2 linked regions of the Diceros bicornis minor genome follow. The protein of the gene in region 1 binds, or shares a complex with, the protein of each later gene. Links are inferred from orthologs where the notes say so. Each region holds a gene or a part of one and is shown on either strand. Other genes may lie near its edges. The genes, in order: LNX1 and IGSF5.

The links.
Region 2: the proteins of LNX1 (region 1) and IGSF5 are in contact, whole or in part, in a crystal structure (PDB 3VQG), measured with the Mus musculus proteins. The link is inferred for Diceros bicornis minor from reciprocal best matches to the Homo sapiens genes LNX1 and IGSF5. Residues at the interface, in NP_001153049.1 of Mus musculus: Gln396, Leu397, Gly398, Ile399, Lys400, Leu401, Val402, Phe413, Leu416, Pro446, Ala449, Ala450, Ile453; in NP_001171358.1 of Mus musculus: Val367, Thr368, Leu369, Val370.

Annotation. Positions count from the first base shown.
Region 1 is NC_080747.1:41,673,381-41,688,707, reverse strand, and holds the start of LNX1 (E3 ubiquitin-protein ligase LNX), read left to right. Parts: upstream 1-9,949; 5' UTR 9,950-10,073; intron 10,074-15,327.
Region 2 is NC_080766.1:39,672,109-39,687,353, forward strand, and holds the start of IGSF5 (immunoglobulin superfamily member 5), read left to right. Parts: upstream 1-8,852; 5' UTR 8,853-8,900; intron 8,901-12,460; 5' UTR 12,461-12,480; coding exon 12,481-12,538; intron 12,539-15,245. UniProt on the Homo sapiens protein: Provides, together with MAGI1, an adhesion machinery at tight junctions, which may regulate the permeability of kidney glomerulus and small intestinal epithelial cells. Mediates calcium-independent homophilic cell adhesion.

The sequences.
Region 1 (15,327 bases):
ATACCTGGTACAGCCCCATGGTGAACACCAGTGGACTATCTACCCTGCCTACAACCCAATAGCAATTCTTCTAATTCACATCATTTTGCACCCAAATGTTTCTTTCCCTTTCCAAACTGTACTTTGTTCATTAGTCCGTTCACTCAACAAAGCCATTATCAAGTTTCTCCACGTGCTCTCCCAACCTTTCTCAGCTCCTGTCCCATTGTTGCTCACACATGCATTTTCCCTAATAAAGTACTTGCATGTTTAATCTCATCTTTGCGTCTGTTTCTCACAGGACCCAGACTAACCCCTAATCATGTTGTCAAGATTTCAGACAGCAGAGCTCACTTGTTACATTTGGGTCCATCCCTGTATCGCTGCAGAGGGTAACTTCATTTCCATTAGTTCGGCATGTGCATTGACAGACTCTGATTTCTGTTTCTCACTCTGTCCCTCTTTCCATCACACCAACGGAATCCTAAGGCTTCCCAACGAGGATCCACTTTTGCTTTTTTATGAAATCTCATGTGATCATTTCCGTGGGAGGACAATAGTGCTAACAGAAGACAGACATTTAGCAGGGATGAAGAGGACAGGTGGTATACAGATTGTATAGAATGGGGAGATTTGTAGAAGAGGGGATGGGGGACAGGGAGAAATAATAGTAATCAGTTTGGAGAGTTTGGCTTTGAAATGACTGACACTTGGAACTGACCTGTTGGTGACCCTGGCATATGGTTTCTGGTTCCTTTATCCTGGAGAAGATGCTACCTTGAGATAGATTGAGGATAGACCAGGAACCTCACAGATCTATTCCCAACTTCAGGTTCAAAGATATATGCAACAGTCTCTAGGGGCAGAGATGAGGAAGGGACATATCTAGCACAACTACTGTCCCTTCTGACAAAACCCCGCAGTTACATTACGTTGAAGAACAAGCATCCCACGGTACACCTGGCTTAGTGCCACACTGACAGTGTAGTCCCAGCTGCTAGTTCAGAGGTGGGTGAATGGTGTTGATCCAGGAGCAGCCAAATCACCTAGAAGGACTGGCCACCCTGGGGAGACACTTTAGTGAGAGTCACCTAGTGTGGGAGTGTGAGGACATCTGTGCAGGACTTGTCAAAGCTGCACTTCAGTCCACCTCCTGGGGCAACTCAGAGAAAGTGAGAGACAACTGGAAGGGCGGCTTCTCCTCTTGCCAAATAAACCACATCACGTTAGGGGCACAGCCTGAACTGGAAGGACCAGCCTGGCCACCCTGGGCTGATGGCCGGCACTGATATCGACAAAGCCTCAAATTAAAACAGTACAAACAGGGAACTTGGAGATCTGAGGCCTCTGTTACCCAGACCGGTTAATAACCTGTCTAACTCCTAGCTCTTAACTCTCCCTAAATGTTCATTGAACTGCGCTGAATGGGTTTGAACACAAAATACAGGCCTCCTCTCAGACTTTCTCCTATCCCAGGAGGAATGAGTTCCTGGGGTCTCATCTGTCCTTTGGCCCCTTGGTTGCAGTTGAAGTCAACATTTCCAATTCAGGATTAGTTGAGCTACTCAAGAATGGGGGACTCCAGGAAAGGTTCATATTGATAACAACCCCAAATTCTCATAACTGGCAAAGGATAGTAGGAGGGGAAAGTATCCATTACTCTGTGATAATCTAAACTTTGGACTGGATGTACAGATTCCACACTCACCTTTGGAGGAAATGGCTGCTCCTGGAGCCAGAGTTAGCAGAACTGAACATGGAGAAATCCTCCCTCTACATTGCCCGGACCACGTCCACTGCCCCACCTCAACGTAGCTTCATGACCACCAGAAAGTCTATCCTTGTGTATTCCAGGAAACTAATCATGGATTAATGACAGCTACCCATGGGAATTCAGCTCTAAGAAGGGCTGAAAAGAGAAGGCACTCATCCAGGTTCAACGTCCAGTTGAAAAGGAGCATCTTCACCTGCTCATGGTATGAGAAAAGTCAAATGAACTTTCCTTTGCTGAGACTCTGTTAGTCAGAATCTGACCAAGAGCCGTCTTCCAATCAATGGTGAGTGGTTTTCATGATATTCTCTTTCTTATATTCTTTGACTTAGGGGAACTAAAGGACGGGCTTCTTGGCAGTGATGCCTGTTTTTGAGGACCTGCCCTTTCTTGGATGGAAGTGAAAGTTCATTGGGAAGGAAAACACTTCCCCACCTATAAAGTTGGCTTCTTTTGTGCTTATCACACCCGAGGAGGCCAGCAACATGATTCTCCTCTTGCTTTTGCTTTTTCCACCCCATCCCTTATGGGGACATTTTTTTGTGAGTCACATTATGTTACTAGTTATTATGAATTTTCAACTCCCTCAGGAAAAAGTTTGAATAAGTTGGGCTCTTAGGCTGGGACAGAGCACTCTATTAGACAGCATAAAAGACAGCAAGTATGTGGAGGATTCTTGTGAGGAAAATGGTAATTTGTTCTTCACTGAGGACTGAAGATACAAAAAATAGAATTAAATGGGATTTAAATTACACAAAGCTTAAAAAGCTTATGAGGTTTGAGGTGGGGATCTTTAAAAGAGGTTTACTGAAGTTGCCAACTCCACCTTAAAGGAATTTCAATTCATTTAAATATCTACAGACATGAGTGTTACCTGCAGAGCACAGACCTTTTCAAGTTCTTCCCAGGGTGCCAGCCAATCCTGACTGTGGGCACATAACTCTGACACCACATGTGAGAAGTAGTTAGTCTTTCTACCCACTCAGAGAACCCGCCTCTACATTCATGAAAACTGTAGAGGTGTAAGAGGTCTCAGGTTCTCCAGGGAGACACACACAGAATCTGGAAGCATGGTAGGTCCCCGTTCCCACTGGCCTCCCTCTCTGCCTGGCCCTAAAGGCTAAGGGCCAAGGCGAGGCTGTGTGGGGGCCCGGAAGATTACAGGCTATAAAGTCTAGAGGACCCACACTCCAACGTTGGCCCCATCATTTACTTTCTGGGCGAACTTGGGCAAGTACTTTTTAACAACTTGGAGCCTTTAAAGGAGAAGAAACAAGCCAACCTTCCTCTTTCATGCAACTGCAGCTGTCCCACTCCTTCGTTACGTTAATTTCCACCTTGTGCTTTAATTGTTTGTCTATAACTCTGCTTCTCCATTGACTATAAGTTCCTGAAAACAGAGATTCTTCTCATCCTTGACATTGACTGGCATATTAACAGTGTTTAACAAATTTGTTGTATAAGTGAACAAACGAATGACTGAAAGAATAATGAATGTCTAGATTGTAGCATAATTGCAAAAATTAAATGTAATAAAGTTACTTCCCTTCCCAAAGACTACAGGCCTAGACTCCTGGGAAAAAGAAGAGATACCTCAAGATCTAACCTAACAATGTGAATTCCCTCCCTTCCCTCATTCCTCCCCTTGTCTTACAGTCATCTTTAGTTCTTTTAACTGATATTTATCAAAGGAACTGGGCTACTTTCCTTCTGGGCACTGGGCTAAATCCTGAGGATCTGTGAAAAGTCATGTTCACTATCTGGCAGTCTAGAGAGGAGACAGTCTGTAAAAAATTAAAATCAGTAAAATAACTGCTGAAGTAGAGTGTGTGGAAAGCACAGAGCAGGCAGGGTTATCTACTTGGGGAAGTCAGGGAAGATTCTATAAAGGAGATGGCATTTGAGCTGAGCCCTGAAGATGGCGCAGGAGCTTGCCAGGCTGAGGGAGGAGTAATGCCTGAGTCTCAGGTCTGCCTGGAACCAGCTGGGCCCGTTGGACAAGTTACTTTACATCTCAGAGACTCAGTTTCCTCATTTGTTAAGTAGCGTTGGCTCATGAGATTTCTCCCAGGAATCTGTAAGAGTACGTGTAAAAGGGCATAACATCAATCCAGGCAATGGTAAATGAACAATAAATGTTAGGATGGTACTGCATGGGTAAGAGCCTGGAAGTGAAAGATGCTGGTTATTATGGGAACCGAAGTCAGTTTTTTAGGGGGGATCCCAATAAACAGTGCCTCTCTTTCCCACCTGGGTTTGGGATAATTTGAGAAAATTCAAAAGAGTAACTATGGAGGCCAAAATATCACCTTTTAAATGGAAATGGCTAAATTGGAGAACAACGCCTGGAACAAGGAAAAGGAGCTTGAAGGCACCCAGATCTGGGCGTGGCAGCTTTTCAAACAGGAGCCTGCCCAGGAAAGACTCAGAGCATGGAGCAGCAGAGGAAAACTGGCTTATTCCCAAGAGAGAAAAGAGAAGAGTAAAATCCCAAGCTTGCCCAGTGGTTCTCCATTTTCCCAGTTAAGGACTGGCAGGGACAGAGTGAGTCAAGGGTGGAGGGAGCATGGTCCGAGTTTGCTTTGGAAACCACTTTCCTGTGGAAATGGGGGTGTAAAGGAGTGCTGCTTTCTAACAGTGTTACAAGGGCATGGGGGCTAGCGGCGGGTGGTATTCTGTGGATGGAAAGGATAAGGAGATGTCGATGAGGCTTGATAAGCAGGCAGGGGCCAGATCATGAAAAACCTCGCATGCCCAGCAAGGCAAATGACCTGAAGGTGGGATGACCACTGAGAGGAAAGGAAGAGGCACTGACCAGGATTACCAAGGAGAGTGACCAGTGCAGCTGGCATTGCAGAGCATACATATACAGTGGCACCCATCTTCATGCTTGTAGGAAGAGAGAAGTCTGGTGCCATGGTTCTTCCAGGCCATTAGGAAGTTGAGGATGCTGGCAAGGAAGTGGGATCTGGGCCAGATAGGCTTGAAGTGAAAAGAGTAGGGAAAGAATATTCTTGGGCAGCCTGCATGAGTCCAGGAACCAGGGATCACAATAAGTTCAGAAAAGAAGGCAAAATTTGAGTAAGGGAGTGAAAAATCTGAATGGTTAAGAGAATACAAAAGAGAGTAGCATTCTCAGATTTTTTTGAAATAGAAGATTTTTGGGTGATAAAGAGATCCCAGGTGTGGCCCTGAGAATGGGCAGCTTAAGAAGAATAAAGGTAAATGTCCTTATAGTTGAGGAGGTCAAGGATGCTGGAAGGGTCAGGATGAGGCCAAAGTTAACAAGGAGAAGAGACATTTTACATCCTTGATATATGGTATTGGGTCAACTATAGTAGCTATATATAAAGGAACCAAGAAGAAACAAAGATACGACAACCTTCAAAATAGCAATAACCATCACCAAAAAATTGAATAAACTACCTGGTTTATGCAGGGATGGAGTCATATAAAGATATTTACAGTTGTGGAATACAGGCCTTGTGACAATTACGGAGGCAGAAACAACGAAGTCCTTTTTTTTTCCTGCTAAAGAAGAGTGTGCTGGCCACAAATCTGTGTAGTAAACCTTCATAAAATACGCACCATCTCCAGTAACTGATGTGCTCCCTCTCCTCCAAAAAGCACACAAACCAGAGAAGTGTCTGCTCCTAACCTGTAGATCCACTGAGTATTCTAGAAACTCCTCTGCAAACCAGGCAACATGCGGGCTGTGAGTTTGTGAGAAAAATGTAATCTCTTCCACATACACAGAACCAGATGGCATCCATCACATCAGCTGATATTTGTGATTATTACTATTATTTTCCATAATTGCCCTCCTGGGATCTGCTTATTTGCATCATGCTAAGTACTTGTAATTAGCCAATGAAAGATTTGGAGCTAAGCTAGTTTTTTTAAAAAACTGAGGCCAATATGATGGAATGTGTACAGCAATTCCATTTCATAATACTAAATACTTTCAGCCAAAGAGGTTTTTTCTAGAGGTGCCTTTTATTAAAATCAGATGGAATATGTTCACTTTTGTTGTGGCATTCAGTCATCTTAGACAACTCTACAAATATGCCATGAAAAAAAAAAGGAAGCAAACAAGGGCAAAGTAATTCTTACAATCACGAGGTATGGTCTTAGCAATAGGTTCATCGCCAGGGAGGAATCCTTGAGAATGCCAACCTTCATTGTGGTGATCTGGAAGGAAAGAGCTTTGAACAGAGGCCTCCTCTCCCCCTTTAGACTTCCCTGTCAAGATACATAAAAGAATTCAAACTAATCAAAAAGCCCAAGTCAGCTGGCTGGTTAACGAGGACAGGCCCAACCTTGACTTCAGAGAGCTTTCTAACACGTTCCACCTGCCTCTCCAAAGAACAAAATTTACAGGATATATTGACTGCAAAGGCGGCTTGCTTCTAAAGAGAAAGATGGTCATATGGTAGCCGAAATGGCAGACCACGGAAGTTTAGCTCAACACTGAAAACACTGTCGCTCTTAACAAATTACCCCATGCCCAAGATACTAAATTTCTTTCATTCTTTTCTTTTTTAAGCTGTTCAATCATCATGAGAGAAGTAGTCAGCAGTAATGTGAGGACCTGAAACAGTCAGCCCTTGAGGTTCTTTATGATCTGGTCCCACCTTACCCGTCCAAATTTAGTGTGTGATGGATCCTCTTCACCCCAGCAGGGTGAATCATTTTTCCCCTCCTCCCCCACCACGCCCCTCCTTCCCCACCACACGCAGGCTGGGGTCATCCCTGCCTCCATCTGTGCTGCTGCCCTGCCTGGAATGGGTTGCCCTTCTCACCATCTCTCCAAATCCTTCAAGGTCCAATTCATGTTCCATTCTCCGTGGAATCTTCCTCAATGGCACCAGCCAACACCAACCTTTTCCTTTCCTGATTATCCCTCCCACTTACTGTCAAAGGAGGGATAGAAATTGCTGCTGTGCTTGGACTTACATTGTGAAGATTCCGAGGTTACCTCTGAGCTCAAGGCTGCCATGGCCTTTTAGCAATGACAGTGAAAATGGTATGCGAGGAGGGCATGGGGCAGTGTGTGTCTAGTATTTGCCAACCCTGGTCTAAACCACCTCACTTGGCAGTGGCATGTACTGGAGCTTAATTTTACATTGTCTCATATTATCCAACTGTATGTTGTTCTATGTTTTTATGGTCGTTCTGCTAAGATTTTCAGATTTTAAAGGGATAGACTGTTGAAGTTATAGAGAGAAATGACCATAAAAGATGTCATAGAGAGTCACAACCGATCATTCTGGCGGGACCCCTTGAGTTGGGGCCTTCCCTTCTTGAGGTTGGTTTGATGGGCCTCCAAAAGATGATTTCAAGTGTGCACCCAGGGGTGATGGATTTCCAGGTGTGTTTTCTGATAAACACACGTATAAATATATCCATATGTATGTATGTTCTATATATATATACTCAGTGCATAAACCTGATTACTCATTCATTTGCAATTGGAGACATTCCTCCCCAGAAACTACACACCCCAGGGCTACTTCTACAAGACACTTGCTTCTGAATAGAGGGTAGGTAAGAACCTCGATTAGTACCCAGGCAGTTGCCCAGTGAGCATGAAATCAGAACCTTCCCCCCTTTCTTTCCAGCAGTTACAATTGTTCTGGCCCTGCCACTTGCTGGCTGTGCTGTGCTTAAGCAAGTTCTCACCTCTCTACGCCTTGGTTTTCCTAGCAGTAAACAGAAAGAGTGCTTAACTTACAGGGTTGTTGTAAAAAGTGCTTAGACAGTAAGTAGCACCTGCTAAACACTTATTTATAATTTTTTATAATTATTTTTTATAATTTTTATTTATATCTTTTCACCAATACTTAAGAAATATCATTTCCATAATAATGCAACAGCCCTAACGGAATAATGAGGCACATATTGATTTTTTAAACCTTTAAAGATTATTCTAAATCCAGGAGAATCAAATGCATCTCACTTGGGATGGCCGACTATGTGAAATACATCTAGTTTTTTCTCTTCTTTTATATACCATCCCTGGGAGTGAATTCCACTCCTGGGTCAACTCTTGTTCTTAATTTTTATTCATCAGACTATATATGCAGATGGCTGTATATATGTGAATATAGCAAGTGAAACCCTGTAGCCTTGAGAGGCCTTTGGATAAAGCTTTATGCACTGTCACTTCCTGCAAATTCTTTTCCCCTGCAAATACCCCACCACCACCACCAAAAAAAAACCTGTCTGTGATTCCTGCCTCCCAAGTCAGACCTGGTGCCCTTGGAAAAAGGTGAGGCATGACTGACACACAGGGTAGGCAGGCTGCTACAAAGACTGCTGGAGGCAAGGCCTTCTAGATGATTCATCAGGTTGGCAGGCTCACTCTGCTCCTCCTCCTCTCCCAGAGGACACCCTGTCCAGGGAAGGAGAAGCCTTTGTTGTGCTGGTGTTTCTCAGTTCAGTATCAAACTGTTGGACTGGTACTTTTTCCTAAAAGACCTGCATGTGAAAGCTTTGCAGCCTTCATCTTTTTGCTCTTGTCAATAATAAAGGGGTAGCCACACCTGTCTTAGTTTCTATTGGATAAAAATGAGGATGGGGGATTTTTGTTTTGTTTTGTTTTGTTTTTTAAGCTTCCAACACTCTTCAGAGCCACCAAGTTCCCTGGGTAGTTGAGAGCAGTCTGCTGTCGGCTAAGAGGAGAGAGGAGCTAGCTCTCCGGCAAGTGAAGTATCCAGAGCCCACCACACCAGCACCCTTGACTAGAATTTCTCCTCCTTCCCTCCCTGGTTGTTTTACAAGGTATTGAATGACTGGCTGCACCCAGTCAATGTCGAGGCCAAGAGAATGGAATTGAGACCTTCCTTCCCTCCCTCCTCCCCCTTCCCCCATCTCCCTCCCATTTATCCTTCTTTCCCCCCTTCCCCCAGCCAAAACCCCAACCAAGCAAATGATCCCCAAACCTCTAAAGTAGTACAATGTTAGAACATGTGGAACCAAAGTATTTCCAGTATCAGGAAGAGGGGAAAGAGGGGAAGAGAGAGACAGAATAGGGGGAAAAAATAGGAATTTCAACATTTTTTTCTTCAAGAGAAAAAAATATCTCTCTAGGCAAGCAGGCCACCCACCCTAGAGGGAGAGCCCACAATTTTTCCAGGTAGTACATTCCAGAGAGTGAATAAACTGTCCAGAGATGCCGGAAGGGGGCCGCAGAAATACACAACATTTAATACAAGGATAGGAGTTGTTTACAATCCTCTGAAAAATGCCCAAGAGTCGAACAGGCCTGGTAATCACTCACAGCTGCGCTGTGGTGCCGGCTGAGTTGTAGGTCTCTGTCTGCTGGAAAAGCTGAAGCAACACTGTGACTTGCCCAGGGTCACACACCAAGCTTGGGACAGAAACAATTCCGATTCCTCCTTCCTGGCTCTCACAGCAGTCAACGCTGCCACCTTATTACTGTACTATCCTTCAAATCTGAATCATTTAAATTGCTCCTAATTGCAGGCCTACAGTGAACTGTAACCTCCACGTGACTCTAACTGCTAGGCAAGCTGAGGTCAGAAGGACTGAAATTTTACAAACTCCTGAACATGGAATTAAGATGTTGGGAGGGGGTGGGGGGTAGGGAAAAAGTGTTTGAAAACTCGACTTCGAAACTGCTGACAAATACCATATTTAGATTTCTTTTTAAAAAAAAAAATGAATTTGAAATGTCACCTCCAATTTGTTATTCTGTTGGAACAGAGAAGCACTTGGAATTCAAATGGATACCATTCAAAAAGGCATGTGGGGGTAAATTTCATATTTTCCAAGCAGTCAATCTTCACACACTTCCTTTTTTGCCCACTAAATTACCGTCTCGTTTCGGTGTTTAAACTTCCTTTTTAACTCTTTTGTAGGCAGCTCTTGGGAGGTGGTGGGAGGAGGGGCCCTGGGAAGCAACCAGGCCTATAAATTCAGATCTGTCCACGGGCCTGGACACGTGCTGTGCTCAAGAAAGAAAGTAAATTCCATCCGGCAAATTGCTCTAATTGATTCATTTGTCCACCAGGGACACCACCTACCTGCTTGCAGGTATTCAGGTAAATGACAGGCGGGCGGGACCTACTGGCTGTTTCAATAGCTAAGGTCCCAGCAATGTTTTATCAGTCCAGGCTTCCGTGAGGTCACACATTTCCTGCTCCCGACCGACCAATGCCCTCCTCCTTCCTCTAGGCACCTGTACACAGAGGTTGAGGCTGTTCACTGCTCAGGCAGCCCAGGGAGCTGTGGGATTCATCCGCAAGGCATGAGAGCTTCGAGGCTGCTGCTGCTTTGAGAGCCCCAGATACTTGAAAAGGTGAGCTGAAACCTCCATTTTTCTCTCTTGGCGTTTAGACCACTGGCCCCTGAGGGATCTGAATGAGGAATTTGAATGAAAAATATAAACTCAATGGCTCAGCCCTGGGTGTTTGTCCCAAAGGGAGAAGCCCTTTTGGGAGGGAAGAGTAGAGGGATGCCTTTGACATTTTGGTTGTACAGGAAAGTCCTTCCAGGCCAGATATTTAATCCTTTTTGTTTCTCCTAATCATTAATCCAGCCTCTGCTTGTCTGGGAAGTTAATCTGATTTTTTTTTTTTTAACCCAGGAGTGGAGACTTTTTTGAAACTTGACTCAAAGGTACAGACCTGTTCAGCCCGTTTCATGGGGGTTGGGAGGCCAGCACTGACTGAATTCGGAGTTGTCTTATTTTTGCCTTATTTGCCTTATTTTGCCTTACTCTCTGCGTTCATCTTACCAGAGGCAATTTCAATCTAAACCTGTGAGATGTTCCTAAAGTTTTTGTTTTTCCCCCCAAGTCTGTTACTTAGATGGGTAACTTCTGTTGCCCTCCTCAGAAGCCCTCCACTCCAGTTCTCTCCTCCCTCTTTCTTCTCTAAAAAAAGTCTACTGTTTTCTTTGTTCTTGGTTGGACACTTTTTAAAATCACTTTGCAGTCTGGACTAGAATTGTTCATATTCAGACCTGGACTGGCTGCGTGCTGAGCTTCAGTTAAAGTAAAGATTATTTCCTCAGTGCTTAACAAGAATGTAAGTTCAGGTCTGATTTTTCATTTTTCTGAACTCCTCCACTTTTTCCTCTCTTTTTCTTTTGATGGCAAATATACCGAGGAGATTGTTCTGCTAGGACCTGACTTGAAGTAATTTTACCTCTAGGATCCATTTTTGTTTTCTTAATCCTGATCACACAGCCGGTACTACTTCTGTTCTAGTCAGCCCAGTAGCCACACTCTACACACAATGCTGTTGTTAGAGAAAGGAAAAGAAACCATCTCCAAACCTAGTTCCCTGCTAGGATGAGCTGGAAAACTTGGGGAGAGAAATCAACTTGCGAGGGATTTTTCATTGGCGATTTTTCTGAGATTTCAATTAGCAAATATGTTTGCAAGAGAATAACCTGTTAGGAATTATGCTCGTATTCATCCTCCCAGAAATTCAAAGTGCATGTCAATTCTCCAAAAGTATAAATGGAAACAAGCTCAGAAGATTTTTGTCTCAGACTGTTCCTTATCACCACTGAGAATCTGCCCTGTGCTTGTTGCCAATTTCTCTCTCACTCCTTGGAGGTTTGTATTGTTCTGTAACTGACCCTTGTGTCTCTTCTTTTCCCCTGAGCCGGTGTGTTTGAGTGGTGGCTATGGCTTGTCCCACGCTAGTGTTCTTACTTGGTTCAGAGTTTTGTCAGCAGAGGAGAGAAAAAGATCTCTGAGATCCTGAATCTTCCAGATAAAAATGTGTCTTCAAAGTCACAAATCTCGCTACAAGATTGCGTTCCCTCTGGGTTACCTTTGTATAGTTAATTTATGATTAAACAAATCATTTCATCACTATATGTCAGAGCCCCTGGCTATTAAAGGAACAAAGCTGTGGATGCTGTAGCCCCAGATATAAGAAAGGAAAAAAATTACGAAGACTGGAATTTAGGGTCAGGTTATCTAGAATGCAATTGGTCTGTTGGATAAGTTGCACATGAGTATTTTCCAAACAAGTGAAAAAGTCCACAGTGGTTCCCTTCCTGTGGTAACTCCATCTCTTGGTTCAAGTGGCAATAAGGCCTGATTGAAAAATATATTCTTTCTTCCATTTACATCCTTGAGTAAGTTACTCAACTTCTCTGACCCTCAGTTTCTTCAACAGTAAAACAGGAGATAATCTCTTACGACACAAAGTGGTCATGAGAAATAAATGAAGTAACATACATAGAGCGACCAATGTCTAGTGCCGGGTGGGTGCCAAATAAAGGCTAGGTCCATCGTTCTTGAAGGCATTTTCCTGGGTTGCTTGTAGGCGATAGTTTGATCCTACTGAGATAAATGATCTTATGTGGTTGCAATTGTTAGGACCACTGATCGTTCTCATTATGATTATTAATTGTAAGTAATTAACTCCAAGCTTAACAGTTTGGAGAAAGAAAACAGGCAGGAGGCAGGAGAATGCTTAAACTATGTCATTAAACAGGCCAGGCAGACTCGTCTCCGCCAGCCTCCCAGGCCATGTCTAGGAGCTTCCGGCCACTGCTGTCACTCCTGCCTTTCCCCACCTCAAGGATCTCATCCCACAACAGACCCACAAAATGTGGTCCTCCACAGACCTTCGGGGGAAATGTCCTGTTGTTATCTGCTGTCATCTGACTTGGCAGGCAGCCCTTTCTGCTCTCAATCGTGCTATCTCCAGGGCAGACCGAGCTTGGTCTGCTCCAGTCTGGCAGATAAATAGCCTTCACCGCAGCCTGGCGAGCTACCATGCCAAGTCACTGGTAGCAGGAGGCAGCCAGTTTGGAGCCTGTACTGTACTATGGAAGGGGGACTTGTGGATCCTTTGGATATGATTGCCCCCCCGCCCCGCCCAATGGAATATCCTGTGCCCTCCGATGACCTTGAGTCATTGCCTAAGAGCAGGAGTGTTCCCAGGCCCCTGGGACCTTCTCCAGGTCTCATCTTATCCTGAAAAGATAAGGCAGGTTTTCATCATTCAAGAGCAAGGTAACAGCCTAGTGGATTGAGGCCAGGGGTTCATAACCTTGAACCTACTACTAGCTTGCTTAGGGGATCCTGGGGAAGAACCTCAACCTCCCTGTCCATCAGTTTCCTTGTTCACCTTTTCCCACATGTGGGATGCTGAAGTAGCGTACTTCACACCCGCCCTGCGTCCTGTGACAGAAGCTAGATGGGCGGCATGCCTAGTGAGTAGGTCAGACTGACTGCAGGAGAGGGGGCAATGCCTCACCAGGAAATACAAGCCTGATTTATTCAGTTCTAGGTGGAACAGTGCTACTGCTTTACAATAGTGGTCTGGTCTCTGACATCAGACGGCCTAGATTCAAAACCCAGCTCAACCTTGTACTAGCCGTGTGACCTAGGATGGTTATTCCACCTCACTTGACCTCAGCTATAAAATAGGCTTATTGTGAAGATAAAGTGAGTTGAAATAAGTAAAGAGTTTGGAATAGTACCTGGCACAATGTTAGCTATTACCAATATTATTTTCTTGAAAGGAAGGCATAATGGGTAGAATCAGACAGTTCTGGGTTTCAGAACCAGTCCTGCCATGAATTTCTAAGCTAAATAAGTTACTTAGTATCTCTTTGTCTCAGTTTCATCATCTGGAAAATGGAATACTTACCTAACTCAGTGCTGTTGTGAAGAATAATTGAGATGGTTTCATGTAAAGTGCCTGGTATATAGGAAGTGCTCAGTAAACGTTAACTCCTGTTATATTATCATAGAAAACAATTATTATGTTGGTTACAGTTAGACTTCTTAGGTCATGCTACAGTTGGAATATAATCATGATGGAAACAGTAGTAAGTTGAGGGCCAAAGACTCTCTGAGCAAAACAGATTTCCCAAAAGGCCCCCAAAGGCTTAGACGGAAAACCTGTTAACAAAGATTATCTTGTTTATCTTGGAGTTCCAGGATAGGGTAGCTGCCAGTTGAAATACCTGGTCCTTTGCAGAACTGGGGACAGTAGGATTCTGCGATGCAAATAAACAGTGGATTTTCCTGGAGTAGTGATTCCTGGCTTCCTGGTCTCCTTTTTAGATTTGAATTCCTCACTTAAAGTGGAGAAAAGAAGGTCTGCTAGGATTCTGATTGCTTAAAAGGCCGCTCTCTAAGATGCTGCCAAGAGAGGACAGATGAGGGAGGCTCTAAAATGTGTGCTCCTCATTGCCTCAGTATTCATGGACCTCCTGGCGGTATGTAACTATTCCTGGTATTCATGTGCTGGCACCACATAGACTCACTTTTATGTGGGTGGCAAATGTATTGTCCTCTGACAGTGCCTCCAACATATCAAAGGCTTTTCAAAACCATTTGGAAGAAAGACTACATCGTTCTTCCTGGGTTAATGGGATTTAACCATTTACTAGCCCCCTAAAGTAAGGGTTAACATGAAAACCATACAAGTTGCTGAGTACAAAAACTTGGACTGAGCTGAAATCAGAAACAGAAAATGTTGGTTGTCTCCTGTAACTTGCTTGCATTCACCATTTCCTCTTACCTCATTTTATTCTAAGTGATGCGAGGACACTATAGTGACCTATAGCTTAGTTACCCAGAGACATATTTCAAATCAATATAAGGAAAAACTTTCTAAGAATTAAAGTTGTCCAAAAATCCAGTAGGTTGCCTTTTGGCAAAAATGAGTTGGGAACAGTGAGTTCCCTGTCACTGAAAGTGATTGTTTTTGGTATATTTAGTGCCTGGTATGTGTTTGCTGAACGAATGAATGAATGAATGCCAAAGAGGATTTGTGTTTCTTTAGCAGCACATCTACTCTTCTGTAAAATGAGGATTATGTCACTGATCTCATAGGATCATTTTAAAGATTAAATGAGAAAATATATGTAGAGTACCCAGCATAGTTTTTTGCACCTAGTGAAGTGCTCATTAAATAGATATAATTACTATGTTTTATTTTATATTATATTCTAAAAAGAAGATGAGAAAAGGGAGTCCTCCTTCAGGTAGAGGGTAGACAAGATGACCTCCATATTTGAGATTTGCGGTTTTTACGATAGTCTCTTTATTCCTATTCTCTTCACTCCTGCCCTCTTCCTCTGTCTTCCTAAAAGAACTTCTCCCCCCTTCTCTAGGGAGCCACGCTCCTTGACATGATGGATTGACTAGTATACTTCTCACAGTGGCAGTAGGTTCTGTCCATCCCAATTAACCAGGGACATTTTTTTTACATCACTAATTTGTGATTTGGAAGGTGTGGGCTTAAATTCCACCATGATTTTCCGGTGACTCTTATTTGACTTTTGTGTTTGATGCATTTGTCACTGGGACACAAAAGACTTCACCAACAGCAGAGTGGAAACTCTCCAAGAATTTTCTTTAATAGCTTCTTGGCACAGTGCGTGGCAACAGCACACGCGTGATGGTGAGGTCTAAATATGTCATTGCTATCTGTTGAGATGATTTGCATAACTTGCTTATGACTGCTTTTGTCAGTCATGTGGCCTTTTTTGAATAGAACGCTGCATGGTTAGGCTCCTGCATACTCACGTTAACGCATGAATCACCTAGTGTTTTCAAACTCCTCATTAAG
Region 2 (15,245 bases), on another chromosome or scaffold:
TTGTCCTCACAAGGCCTCTAGTCCCTTGGAGGGTGGCTGACATCTGAGACTCGAGGTCCAGGGCTGGGAGCCTGCTTGTCCAAGATGCCTTTGTGAATACAGGTCATGCCCACCCATTCCTGCGTGCCCTCTTCTCACCACCAAAACGATTTGAGGATGTGGTGGTTTTAAAGCGTGACTGCCAAATTCTTCGACATTCCTCCACTGGGGGATCTGACACCCCTCTGCCTGAATCTGGATTCTGTGACTTCTTGGGCAGTGGAATACAGTGGGAGTGATTGTGGCAGGAAGAATCCTAAAATGACCCCCATCTTTGTATAACCCCCTCCCCCTTGAGGGTGGGTGGGACCTGTGAATATGGTGTGCCATCACTCCTATGTCTGTTACGTTATGGGGCAAAAGGGAGATTATCCAAGTGGACCTCACCTAATCACACGAGCCCTTTAAAAGTTTTCTCCAGCTGGCAGCATGAGAGGGAGTCAGAGATTTGAAGCAGAAAGGGGATTCAATGCTGGCTTAGGAGATGGAGGGGGTGACCTTTAGGAGCTGAGAGTGGCCCTCGGCTGACAGCCAGCATGGAAGCAGGGACCTCAGCCCTACAGCCAGAAACAAGTGAGTTCAGCTCACAAACCAAATGAACTCGAAAGTGGATTCGTTCCCAGAGCCTCCAGATAAGGAGCCAGGCATGACGGACACCTTGATTTTGCCAGAGAACCCAGCCAAACCTGCCTGGACTTCTGACCTGCAGAACAGTGAGACAGTACGTGGGTGCTGTTTTAAGCCGCTACATTTGTGGTAGTTTGTTATTTAGCAACGGAGAACAAATGCAGTGACATTGCCAGTTTCCAGGTCCAGGCTTTAAAAGACTAGCATCTTCCATCTTCTGTCTACTGGAGCGGTTGCTCTTTGAACCCGACTGCCCTGCTGTGAGGAAGCCCAGGCAGTCCCACAGGGAGTTCTACCTGGAGAGGAATGCAGACCCTCAGCACAGCCACACCCGGGCCAACTTTGCAGCCTTGTGAATGAGCCGTCTTGGAGGTGGGTCCTCGAGTGCCAGGATCTGCTCCAGCTGACACTACGGAGCAGGAGAGGCCATCTCCGCTGAGTGCTGCCCAGATGGCAAAATAAATGATTGTTCTTATTTTAAGCCACTAAGTTTTGGGTTGGTTTAAATAGAGGGTGGAATTTCTGCTGTTTGCCCTGGGCAAAAATTGCTAATTATGTCTCTAATGATATGGTTGATATTAAAGATAACTTCAATAAAGCTGTTAAAGGCATTCCTACACAAGGAGGAGAAATGGCCCTTGCAACTTTAAGAACATGTTGTCCTAGTCGATTTTCCCCCTAGGATTTTGTGAATTAAAGTGTGTAGTGGACAGAGAGTATTTTGCAAATTCCTACTTAAAGAGGGATTTATTAACTTTGTACCCCAGTCAACCACACTCACAAAAATGACAATATTTAATGCTGTTGATGGTGCGGTGAAATAAGTCATCTCAGACACTTAATGTGGGATCGTAAGTCAGCATAGTTCTGGAAACTAATTTAACTATTCATAATTTTAAAGTGATTAGTGTTTTGACTTATGATTCTAATTAAAAGAGCCTACTGTAAGATACAGTACCAAATGCAAAATAAAAGAAAAAAAACCCCCAACCTTCTATATACATAAATACACTCATCTCAGTATTATTTGCAATATTGAAAAGCTAGAAACAACATAATGTTTAACCACATGGGTGTTCTTACAGCCACTTTGATATACTTATAATGATATGATGTTATGTATCATACTGCAGCATATTATTATGAAGCCATTAAAACAATGTTCATGAATGGTTTTTAATGATATGGAACAATGCTTATAATATAGTGTTAAACTAAAAAGGATATAAACTTGCACAGACAACATTATATTTAACTATATAATATGTGAAACTATATATGGTGGTTCAAGGAAAAGATTTCTAGTAGCTGAAATATAGATGTAATTTAATGTTTAATAACAAAGAATTCTTTAAATAAATGATGGTACATCCATAAAACATAACACTTTTTAGCCACTTAAAATTATTTTGTAAGAATATATACATTTATGGAAACACATTTAGGCCATTTGATTAAGTGGGTGTATTGGTTTCCTAGGGCTATTGTTACAAAGTACCACAAATTAGGTGCCTTGAAACAACACACATTTATTCTCTCCATTTGTGGAGGGTAGGAGTCTGAAATCAAGGTGTGGGCAGGGCCATGCTCCCTCTGAAGGGCCTGAGGAGGAATCCTTCCTTGCGTCTTTCAGCTTCTGGGGGTTGCCAGCAATTCTTGGTGTTTCTTGGCTTACAGATGCGTCTTTCCAATCTCTGCCTCTGTGGTCACACGGCCTTATCCCTGTGTGTCTTCATGTAATCTTCTCTCTGTGTTCAAATTCTCTCTTCTTATAATGACACCAGTCATGGTGGATTAGGGCCTTCCATAATCTAGTATGACCTCACCTCTATTTAGCTAATTACATCTACAGTGACCCTATTTCCAAATAAGGTCACGTTCTCAGGTTTTGAGTAGACTTGAATTTTTGGGGACACTATTCAACCCTGTATAGTGGGTTAAGTGAAAAATGCAGACCTTGGGTATAAAATTATATATAATACTTCAATAAAAAGTTAAAAATTATACATGACATACAGACATACACGTTCATAGACACGTAGATGTACGTACACATACATAAGGGATTGGAAGGTTTTATGACAAACACTTTATAGAGGTCTCCCTGGGTGGCAAGGTTCTGGATTCTGCTTAATGACCTCTGTGAATTTTTATGAGTTTTCCACATTGACAACACATTCCTTTTATAACTGAAACAGTAATGAATTTTTTTATTTTTTGCCATTCAAATGGTCAACAATCAAAATAGCGGATGGTGTTGATCACATTGGTTGTTAGCTGCTAGGGGCGATATAACTATCTTGGAGAGATTTTTGGGAATCCAGGATATTTCAGACTTCTTACAGTGTGCGTGTCTTCTGACCCAGCAATTGCATTTTTTTTTTTAAAAAATAGGCTTTATTTCTTAGAGCAGTTTTGGGTTCACAGCAAAACTGAGCAGAAGGTACAGAGATTTCCCATATGCCCTCTGTTCCCCCACAGGCATAGCCTCTCCCAGTATCAACATCCCCCACCAGAGTGGTACATTTGTTACAATTGATGAGCCTACGTTGACAAATCATCATCACCCAATGTCCATAGTTGATCTTAGGGCTCCCTCTTGGTGCTGTGCATTCTAAAGTTTTCGACAAGTGTATAATGACATGTATCCACCATTGCGATATCACACCGAGTAGTTTTACTGCCCTAAAAATCCTCTCTTCTCTGACTATTTATCCCTCCCCCCAGCAATCACGGATCTGTTTACTGTCTCCATAATAGCAACTACATTTTTTGGAATTGATCCTAAGGAAATCATTAGGCGTATACTCTCTGACCCAGCTGTGATGGTGCTCACCACCTCAAGCGATGTGAAGCCCAACAGCAGGAACAGGTGAAGGTAAGTGATGCGACCTTCAGTTGATCGAACTATGTTTAGTCATTAAAAATAATGTATTTCCTGATTGGGGGCAGAGGTTTGTAGTATATTAAGTAAATGAAATCTAGTTACTAAACAGCAGGTACAGTATGAACATTTTTTTTTTTTTTGTGAGGAAGATCAGCCCTGAGCTAACATCCATGCCAATCCTCCTCTTTTGGCTTGGGAGACCAGCCGTGAGCTAACATCTATTGCCAATCCTCCTCCTTTTTTCCCCCTTTTTCTCCCCAAAGCCCCAGTAGATAGTTGTATGTCATAGTTGCACATCCTTCTAGTTGCTGTATGTGGGATGCCACCTCAGCATGGCTGGACAAGCGGTGTGTCGGTGCGCACCCGGGATCCAAACCCGGGCCGCCAGTAGCGGAGCGTGTGCACTTAACCGCTAAGCTACGGGGCCGGTCCCTAGTATGAACATTTTTTAGCAGATACTTGCCATGATGTTAGCAGTGCTTGTCTCTGTGTGGTGGTCTTAAGAGCAATCTGTTTTAAAATTTTCCACCATTTTTTGTGTGTGTGAGGAAGATTCCCCCTGAGATAGCATCTGTTGCCAATCTTCCTCTTTTTGCTTGACGAAGATTCTGCCTGAGCTAATATCTGTACCAGTCTTTCTCTATTTTGTATATGGGTTGCTGCCACAGCATGGCTGCTGACGAGTGGTGTAGGTCCATGCCTGGGATCCGCACCCAGGGCACCGAAGCAGAGTGTGCTGAACTTAACCACTAGGCCATGGGACCGGCCCCCAAATTTTCCTCCTTTTTGCTTCCTTGCGTTTTCTAATTTTTCCATAGTGAATATGTATCACTTTTGTAATAAGGAAAATAATAGAAGCTACTCATTAAAAATTCATAATGCTTATCTATGGGTGATATTGAGAATACAGATGGCTTTTATTTTCTTCTTTATATTAGGTTGAGCCTAATATGAAATTGCTATTTCTGTAGGTGAAAAACAGTTAAATGTGGGGCCTCTTATATGAGTTAACCTACTTTATATTTTAATATTTTCTAAATATTCTAGAGATCATGCTACTTGTATACTTAAATTCCTCAAAGGGCTCCTGTGAAAGGATTTAAAATCATGGCTCTCATACAAATCCAAAAGGTACACATGTCCAAGATCTTATTTAACTCTTTAATTAGTTGAGGGAACCAGTGAGATGTTACAACAGATTCAATGAAGAATTCAAAGAACACACATATATAAGCCATCGTGAATGCTGAAACATTTACAGTCATGTGCTGCATAACGATGTTTTGGTCAATGACGAGCCACCCCATATACCATGGTGGTCCCATAAGATTAGTATCATGTAACCTAGGTGTGTAGTGGGCCATACCATCTGGGTTTGTGTAAGTACACCCTATGTTATTCACACAATGACAGAATCGCCTAAGGATGCATTTCTCAGAACATATCCCCTACATTGACTGTACAAATAGATGCAAAACTGGTCAAAATCTGCAGGGCAAAAATCAACTGCATCCTCACCAAAGTTCATTTGCATCTCTGTGTACTAGAATCATTTGTATTACTCTCAGTTTCTTACAACTCTGTATTAGTCAGGGTTCTCCAGAAAAAGAGAACCTATATATATATATGTATGTATTTATTATGAGAAATTGGCTTATGCGATTATGGAGGCTGAGAAGTCCTATGATCTACCTTCTGCAAGGTAGAGACCCAGGAAAGCTGGTGGTGTAGTTCCAGTACAAGTTTGAAGCCCTGAGAAGGGAAGGGCTGATGGTATAAATTCCAGTTTGAATCCAAAGGCTTGAGAACCAGGACTGCCAATGTCTGAGGGCAGAAGACCAATGTTTAGGTAAACAGCCAGGCTGAGAGAGAGAATCTGCCCCTCCTCTACCTTTTTGTTCTATTCAAGCCCTCAACAGATTAGATGAGGCCCACCCACATTAGGGAGGGCGATCTGCTTTACTCAGTCTACCAATCGATTCAAATGCTAACATCTTCTAGAGACATCCTCACAGACACACCCAGAAATAGTGTTTAACTGGATATCTGGGCATCCTGTGGCCCAGTCAAGTTGACACATAAAGTTAACCATCATGAACTAGCGTTTTAAGTCGTTCAAAGACAGCTCAGGCCCTATTATCAGATAATTCAGTAACCTTCTTAGTCTATTTCAAAATTTTTCACTGCTTTCCTGATATTCCTTTTTATATTTGAAGATAAAAACTAAACTTGTGACTGTACCTTTGGGCTGGACCCTGCTCATCTAAGCCCCCTCTGCCTCCCAGCTCTCTGCATCCGTTCCCATGAGCCTCTTTAACTTCTCTGGTGAACCAGGCTTCCTGCCATCTGCCCCCAGGCTTAGACGCACATTGTTCCCCCTGCCCCAGAGGGTGGTCCAGCCGGCCCCTCCACCTTCCTACCTGGTTAGCTCCTAACTGCCCACCCACCAGCTGAGCCCAAACCCAGTTTCCTTGGAGAACCCCGCCCCCTTCATCAAAACTTCCTTCAGAGACTTTACTGCAATTTGAATCACAGTGTGAATATGTTTTATGTGAATCTGAACTTTGTGATTTTAAAATAGCTTAGGCTAAAAATATTAGTAAAATCTCTCTTTATGCTCAAACTTTGAAATAATGCAAACCTCCCAAATTTCGAAAAAAAAAAATGTTCCTCAGGATCACACAGTTTCAGAGCTGCATTTCCAATGACTTGTAAATCGTGTTTTCACTCTGGTCCCAGAGGCAGCTGCTCAGGAGCTGGTGGACAGGAGAACCCCGGGCCCAGGGTTGGCAGTGGGGGCCCTCCACTTGCTACAGACCTTCTGAGAGTGGTTATTATTGTTATATATATGCATTTTGTTATGGCACTTGTAGGGGGTCCGAATATGCCACTCCAAAATATGCCACTTTGGCAGAAGGATTATTTTAAACTGAAGATGATAGAGCAGGCACCAAACAAACCCCCTGTCCTCCCCTCTCTTGTATCAGGAAGGGCAAAATGGTCTTAGTCGCTGGACACTCTTATCAGAATCTACATAATGAACTGTACCAAAAGCAACCCTTATCTTCCATTAGTCTCCCCTATATATTCACCTGCCCACAGTTTGCTGCCCCTCAAAACCTAAGCTCCTTTTTCTTCGTCTTGTCACTTCTCTATGAATTTATTGTCTTGTTAAGATTCTACCTAAGCCTGAGTCCTAATCACTTCTTTGAGTTACTCATCACTGTGTTTCCCCTGCAGGTACGTGTGCTGCGCGTGTTAACAAACTCTAGTTTAATCTCTCTTTTGTCAATTTAATTTCCAGGCCCTCAGGCACAGAACTGAAAAGGGTAGAGAAAAAATTTGTTTCCTTCCCTACACACTCGTTGTTATGAGAACTTAAAATTTTCTAAAAGCTGTAACAATATTCTCCAGTAGCAGTGCTGAGGCTAAGGCTGGGGCTGGAAATCTTGATGAGGAAAGTCAGCTGTGATACTGTGCTCTGAAGGCCAGTTCTCATGATTCCCAGTGATGACTGATAGTCTAAATATTAGGACTGAAGCTGAGAAAATAAAAAAGCTCATCAGGGCCAAAATGAGCTATATGCACCTTAGATTTTTATTTCTGTGGTTCGTTGTTCTGCAATTATTTGAGTTTTGAATTATGCTAGGCCATCAGGGACACAGTGCTTGAATAAGGTGCTATGACCCTGTGTATACTTGTTAGATTATTTGATTAATATGTTAACTCTGTGAGTCTATCTGTTTTGCTCACTGTTTTTCTGACCAGCTCCTAGCACAGGGCCTTGTAGGAGAAGGAAAAAAAAAACTTTTCCTCTACCCTTTTGGGTTCACTGTCTGGGGACTGTGAATTAAACTGACAAAAGACAGTTTAACAGGAGAAAAGGTTTATTCTGCATGCATATGGAACCAACAAAGGAAGTAGCAGGGTCATTAAATGGCTGGAGTTAAAGGCTTACATACCTAACTTAGCAGGGGAAATGGAAGAGGGGAGAACAAATAGGTTTATTTAGGAAAGACAAATAGATTTTTAGAAGAACGAATGAGAGATAAGAAAGTTGGTGATAATGTTTGTCTATACAGGTATGAGTGGTCTTTCCATCTTATTCTGGGTCATAAACTCTCTTGGAGAAGGGATTTGGAGTACGTTATTTACGTTCTCCCTTCTGGGGGTAGATCCACCCTGAAGAGGAATTTATGGCAGCCTTATTTCCCAGAATTTGCTGCTTTTAGTGAGAAAAGGGAAGCTCTGAGAAGGCTTTTTTACATCTGTTGAATCTCAAATGTCTTCAGCTTAAAATAACTTTTATGCCAAACTGACATATTTTTGGGGTGGCATATTCTGATCCCCTTCAACTGGAAGGCACAACATTTCCCCCTATTTATTTACTTCAGGGTCTTACTCTAAATGTCTGACCCACACCTTGTGTTGGTGCCTATCCTGTGCAGACACCCTTGACCCTGAGTCCCCTGACAAGATTAAAACGTACTGAAGGAGACAAGCCAGACATTCAAAAAGAACTGCACGAGAGCAGACAGTTTAATAACGGTGCCGCGCATCAGGATTTTGGGAGATGGTCTTTCCAGCAATTGTCACGGTGCTCTGAAAAACCAAGTCCCTTTGTTCTGAGGCGCTGGGGTGGGGTGTGGGAGGGCTGCAGAAAACCTCTCAACAGTTCTGGTGCAAATACGCCAGAGGAAACCGCTTCACTCCTCAAGGTGGCCACGTTCCAGAGGACTTCACCCTTCGGCCTTTTTTTTCTTTCACAAAAGAACCCATTCTTGTGGATGTGGAGGCGCCTGGCTGGGAGAAGGAACCGGCTTCACCGGCCGCTGGGATCTGTGTCAGAGGCCAGGAGGGAGCAGGGTTGGCCAGGCCGCCGCCCACAGGCAGGAAGGAGCTGCCAGCCTCCAGCTGGTGGAAGACGACCAGCAGGACAGCTTGGGACCCATTCTGGTCTTGGCTCTGTGGGACTCGAGAAAGGCTCAGAGGAGGAACAGGGAGGGCAGGCCGAGTAGGAGGACAGCCTTGGCCCCGCGGCCTTGGCATTCTCAACCCGGGCCGGACTTCCTGCTGCTGGTCGGGGCTGGCTAATGATTAACAGGAAATGTGCCGCCCTGGGGCACCCACACCTTCCGGGGGCGAGGAGCCTGTGGCAGGTGGAGGCCACCTCTGGGTTTATAGCCCAGCCTGTGACGTGACAGGAGCATTTGGGAGGCACTTCCTGTTAGCTGGTGAGGACGGGCCGAGATTCTCTGGTGGCCAGACAGATTTGCTCCTGCGTTTGTGTGGAGACAGGACGAGAACCTTCGCTGATGTCCTGAAGAGATTTCCCTGCCTGAGTGAGGTGAGAGCTCCTGGGTGTGGCTCCCAGCGGGGTTTGTCTGGTGGGTTTCTTCACTGGGACCAGGTCTCCTCCCAAGGAGCAGGGGACCAGGCCCCCGGAGGCCATCGGCTGTCTCCCAGGGAAAGCGTGGGATGATCAAACACATATTCTTTGTTTCCCAACTTCCAAGAAGTTAAAGATTAAAAGAGCCGGCTGCTCTGAGCGTGTAGGACTTCGAGACGATCTCTGATCTAGCGAGTGTCCCTTTCATGGGGAGCTGTTCTTGGGGATGCGCTGAGAGCCGAGACTCTGCTGGAGTTTGGGAGGTCAGGGTTCAAATGCTGGAATATTTCTGTGACTCATGTTGTTCGTCGGACAGATTTTGAAATGCCGTTCTTCTCCCCCCTAATGAGAAGGATAAGAGACTGGCTCTGACGTCTCTGGAAGTGCTGAGTTGGCCCTCAGTCGCAGGCCTTGCCGAGGCACCTCCTGATGTAGGGGTGCACAGAGCTGGGGTTCAGGGAGTGGAGGAGAATGCTGGGGCCTGTCCATTAGGCCTGCAGGTCTGCAGCAAGCCCGTGGAGTGGATGTTGTTGCTGCTAATTCTCACTAACCCTGAGAAGCACTTGCCTCCTTTCTTTTAGAGTTTGGTTCTTGTGCTGTTGCCTAAAACAGGACGTTGGCACACACCTTTGGGTTTTATGATATCCAGCTATTCCTCAGAACCCCCAGGGAAGGGTTTGTGTGCGTGGTAATTAAGTGAGATGATCAAGTTCAGCAGTTTTCTTCCTGTGATGACTAGCTTGGTGGGTCCAGATGGACAGTCTGAGTTATTTTGCTTTCTCAGGGCAGGAAGGAATTGGTTGAGGGTTAAAATCCTGTCTATTTCATAAGATTTAAGATTTTAAGAAGACTTCACAGTTTTTCAACTAAAAGTAGGTAATGCAAGTCTTCCATAATGAAGGAACAAGAAGGTAAACCTCAAAGACCCATCAAACTACTGCATAGAGATATTAACTTGCAAATTACCCAGCATAGGTCTTCATTCAATTAAAGCAACTTGCCTGATTTGAGTTGAAACTTGAAATCAACCTTATGACAGTTCCTCCCTGCACACACCCTTCACATACCATCCCCGCACAAATCCACATCTGTAGTAACCTTGCAACTGGGTTCCTATGCTGCCCGCCTGTGAGTTCTGCTGGGCCCATTAGAAATGGAGTCCTTCATTCTCTCATACAGATAATAGGGGAGTGGTGTGTGAGGACAGGGGCAGAATGGAGCATTTGACAGTTAGGTCATCTGTTCTTCGTCTGCAGCCTGCCTCCCTTGCTTATCAGCGGCTAGAAGTATTTCCTAGTGGACTCTAAGCTGTTGCCACGGTTTCAATAATGCCCAGTCCACACTTTGCATTTATTGATTTAGTAAGAGGTGTAACCTTTTATCACTCGACGGTTCCATTTCTCCTTCATCCTGTGCTTGGATCTAGCATTCCAGGTGACTGGTAAAGCAACTGACTTGTCAAGTTGTGTTCACTGAACCTTAAAATTAGTAAATGATTTATTCGGCTCTTCGTAATTCGGGATCTTGAATCAATCTTGGAAGGCCGTGATTTCAGTCCGGTTTGTGTACAGCATATGTTCAGGGATTCGCAGGGTCTGTTTTAGATCATTGCAAGGGGCAGGGTTCCACGACAGTATGCACTGCAGCACAGATGCTTTGAACCTCGCAGTACCGCACACGAGTGGTTATAGTTCAGCGCACATGCTGAATTCTGCTTTCCAAAGATATGAGAGAAACGAGGTGATGGAAACCCCATGTTCCTTCTCAGGACCTGTGAATACCCAGTAACAGTGTGGGTCACGGGCCTGAGCCCATGTGATCCTTCACACTGCCTCTGTTTTACTCAGCAGCTTGTAGGAGGGCGTTTCCTGGACTGAGGTGTGGAGGTTATCTACCTGCGCCTACTTCAGATTTTGTATTTCTGCTTGTGAGCTGCTGTGGGGTCTGCCTCCCACGGTCTGTGAGAGATTAAGGGAGACCGGAGCCCTGGATGAGTGTGTCCGCTCATTACAAAATCCCACACGCGTCCCTGATGGAACCCAGCACCCCAAATTTGGGAGGGACTAGGTGGATCCCCCCAGCAGGGCTGTGAAATCTGCGCGACTCCAAAGCGAAAGCGAAAACCGCTCTCCACTCACTGTGTTCCACAGGTCAGCGGTGTTGAGGAATGTTTGAAATAAAGAGACCCTTCCCTGAGGCTCAGGAGCCTCAGTTGTCTTTGCAGACAATTCCCCATAAGTTCAGTGGGTGATTTAACTCTAAGTCCTCCAGCCGGACCGAGCAGTGCTGGTGACTGCCTTGGACAGGCCTGTCCCGGGGGGGAAGGAAAAAATAAAAAGAAAAAATGCAGAGGGGCCGGCCCCGTGGTGTAGTGTTAAGTGCGCACGCTCTGCTGCTGGTGGCCCAGGTTGGGACCACGGGTGTGCATGGACTCACGGCTTGTCAGGCCATGCTGTGGCGGGGGTCCCATATAAAGTGGAGGAAGATGGGCACAGATGTTAGCCCAGGGCCAGTCTTCCAGCAAAAAGAGGAGGATTGGCATGGGTGTTAGCTCAGGGCTGATCTTCCTCACACAAAAAAAGAAAAAATGCAGAGATGGAGGGTGAGCAGGAGGGTTATCAAAGAACAAATGTTTTGGAAGGAAGGGCCAAGAGGCCTACATGACAGTATCCCCATGTGCTGCTGAGGGGCCGGTAAGGCCTTCCTCCATCTACCCTGATCTCTCCTCCTTCCACTCACCCCACACTCTGCCCCAGCCCCAAAGCCCTCTCTGCAGTTCCTCCAACACTCCAGGCACAGTCTCACCCCAGGGCCTTTGCACCTGCTGTTCCTCTGCCTGGAAAGCTCTTCTGCAGATAGCCACGTGGCTGTCACCTCACTTCCTTCACTGTTCATGGAGCACCTTCTCAGGGAGCCTTTCTCTGCCCTCCTTATTTGAAGCGATAGCCAGCCCACCCCATGCACATGGCCCCTGACACACACTCCTCCCTATTCTATTTTTCTCCATACCTCTTGCCATCTTCCAGTAGGCTTATGATCTATTTCTTTATTTTGTTGCCTGTTTTCCCTTTAGAATGTAAACTCGTTATGGGCAGGATTTTTTTTTTTTCTCAGTGATGAAAGTATCATGATTGAAATGCATAGCAGGAAACCCACACGCAGACACCTCGGTCAGTGATTCAGCGGTAACGGTATACCATCTGCATCTCATAATTTATACATGGCCTTGGGAGTAAGATCATTTAATACAGTGATTCTCAAAGTTGGGCATGGACCAGAATCGGAAGATTGTTTAGTTGTTCAGACAGATTACTGGGCTCCCCCCCGGAGTTTCTGATCCAGCAGGTCTGGGGTGGGTCCAAGAATTTGCTTTTCTAACAAGTTCCCAGGTCAGGCTGGTACCACTGACCATGCTGAGAAGCTCTGATTAACCCATCCGCGGACCGTGGGAGGCTGCACATGCTCTGACAGTAACTGCCCATCACTGATGCACTGTGACCTGCGGCTTTGTTTCCCAGGGGAGGAAGAACATGCGGAGATGGAGAGCGGCTGCAAAGGCATCCTGACCGTGCTGGTGGTCCTGGCTGGGCTGGCAGGTAAGGATCACGGGGGCTCAGAGGGATGTTCCTGGGCGTCCACTTGGAGTGGGCAATAAGGAACCCCAGATGAGGCTGCCAGGACACACGGCTTCCAGAGAGTCTTCCTTAGGCACTCCCCACCGCGTCCCCTTCCATCCGCGCCCTCTTGAGTGGGGTCCATTTCCTGCCACGTCCCCTCAAGTCCGGGAGCGGTCCTCCAGGTGCATCTGACCCCACCAGTCCTCTTTGTTGGGGTCCTCGCCGTCCTGGGAACATGCCTTCAGTACTTTCCCACATGTCATCGCTCTCGTCGAAATGTCCCTCCCCTGCCTGGTTTTTCTCCTCTTCTGTTTCCATCTGGTCTTCAAGGAAGGCCCAACTCAGCATCACCTCCTCCTGGAAGCTTTCCTGACCTTGCAGTTTTTGGGGTGATAATCCCAGCTCCATTTATTGACAGGGTGAGGGGCCCCTTGTGTGTGATTCCCACCCCCCCACAGCTCCTCCTCGTCGTGGGACCCTCCCAGGGTGTCGGTCGGAGTGGACTCCAGGGTGTCCGAGGCCAGGCTCTCCTGATCAGGAAGAGGAGTGGGCGGGCATGGGGGCCTTAGGTAACTGGAGTTTGGACCCCCAGCTTTGCTTTCACTGTGTCTCGTCTAGATTTCATTGCTTCAGGTGCGTTTGTCTTGTTTTCCCGGCTAGATTTTAACCTCCGGGTCCTCCTCCTGTATTCCTTACTGCAGAGTTTTTAAGGCATCGTATTGAAGAATAATACACACACAGACAAGTGTGCAGATCCTGAAGGTACATGTTCACAAGCCGAACACCTTCCTGTGTCAATAGTGAGCCTAGAACATTCCACAAATGTTCCCTTTCAGTCACTCCCTATCCCTTTCCCCCCAAAGTGACCGTGATCCTGACTACTAACTGCATAGATAAATTTTGCACTTTCTGTACATATGAACCCTATTTTAGATGGCTGGATAATGTTTTTTTTTTTTCTTTTTAAAGAAACTCTGGCCATGACAGCGTTAAACAATTAAAATGGAATAAAATAGAATAGGGACTATCAGAGGTGTTACATGCAGTAAGTACTGTTTAGAAAATTTTGGTTTTGGGTATTACATGTTAAGGCTCTGGGTCCCAGGCTGTGGTGGTAAAATGCATTTGGGGGCAGCAGAGATGTTCAGAAGCCCCTCCTTATAGCAGGCAGTGCTAAGCGATTAGTAGGTGCTTGGAAACATTTGTTCACAGGGTGGACAGGGGTGCACGGTCCCTGCTTGTGTAGAGCTTGGGGATTCATCGTGGAGCGAGCAGACCACGCTCTGTGCATGTGTTAGGGAGATGGCTCCAGACGGGCCTGTCTCAGCCACGGTTGCAAAAGTGTTTTCCAGGGGTTTAGTGGGAAACTGACAAAATCTGGGTCTATAGTTTTTCTGAGACATTTTTCCTAAAGTCTGTTTTGAAGGCAGGGATGGCTTTGGTCGAGGCCTGGAGACGGCTGTTCTGGGAAGGGAGAGTATTATGGGCTCATTCTAGAGCCCCCGGGGATGGGGTCCATCGCAGAAGACTGAGCCCTGTGGATGCTTCCTCTTGGAAAGTCTTGGGGTAAAGACACCCTGTTTGTAGACTTGGCTTTGAGTAGCTGAGGGCAACCTCCATGTGCACCCAGAGGGCTCCAGCCTGCCCTCTCCTCTTTACTTGGCCCCCAGTGTAATGGATTATATAGAACTGGACCACCTAGTTTATTCACTCAGTGAACAGTCACTGAGGGTCTGTTATGTGCACTGCCATTTAGTTGCAGGCACTGGGATGCAGGGATGGGCAAAACCAGTCCTAGTCCTTGCTAACAAAGAGCTTAAAGCCTAGTAGGGGAACCAGCTTTAATCGACAAAAAAAAAATCTATATAAAAACACCACTGTGACAATTGCGTCACTGACTCGAAAGCCTGTTATAGGATAGTTTAACCTAAACAGGATGGTCTGGGGAGGCTCCCTGAGGAGAAGATGACATGGCCAGGAGCTGAGGAGTAAGCAAGACTGGCACACCATGCTGTCAGTGCCTGTGGAAAGGCCCTGGGGCCAGAAGAGTTGGTGAGTTTGATACATTCAAGTTGGTCAGGTGATCAGAGGGCAGAGTTGAGGGCACAATGAAACTGGAAAGGAAGTTGATGTGAGATTAAGCAGGCTCTGAAGATACTGTTAAGGATTATCTGGTCTTTATCCCAAACGATGGAAATATTTTAAACAAAGTCTGGGGTGTGGGGGTGGGAGGTAGGGGAGAGTACCTGGTCCCAATGGTGTGTTGAGAAGCTGCCTCAGGCTGCCACGTGGAGAGCAGCTTTGGGTGGTGGTGGTGGCAGGGCAGTGACGCTGGCACCTCCTGCGGTGGTCAGCAGGACTCGGCAGGCAGCTCAGACCTGCCTGGGGAGCCCCTCCCTCACTTCTCAGTTCCCTTCTGACGGTCCCAACCCCTGATGTGTTTTGATTCCCATTTTCTCCTTCAGAGCCGCCTCACCAGGGCAGTTCTCATCCACTGCTCTCCACGTTATTTCCCTTTGTTCCTTCTGACTTTTAATTGTCTGCTTTTCTGTTCATTTCCAGTGGTAAGTAAGAGACGGGGGAAGGTGAGGGATCTATGCTGCATTGAGGCAAGCTGGAGAAGAGCAGAGGGGGGGGACAGAGGGGTTGGTTGGTGCAGACCTGCCACGTCCTCTACGCCAGGGAG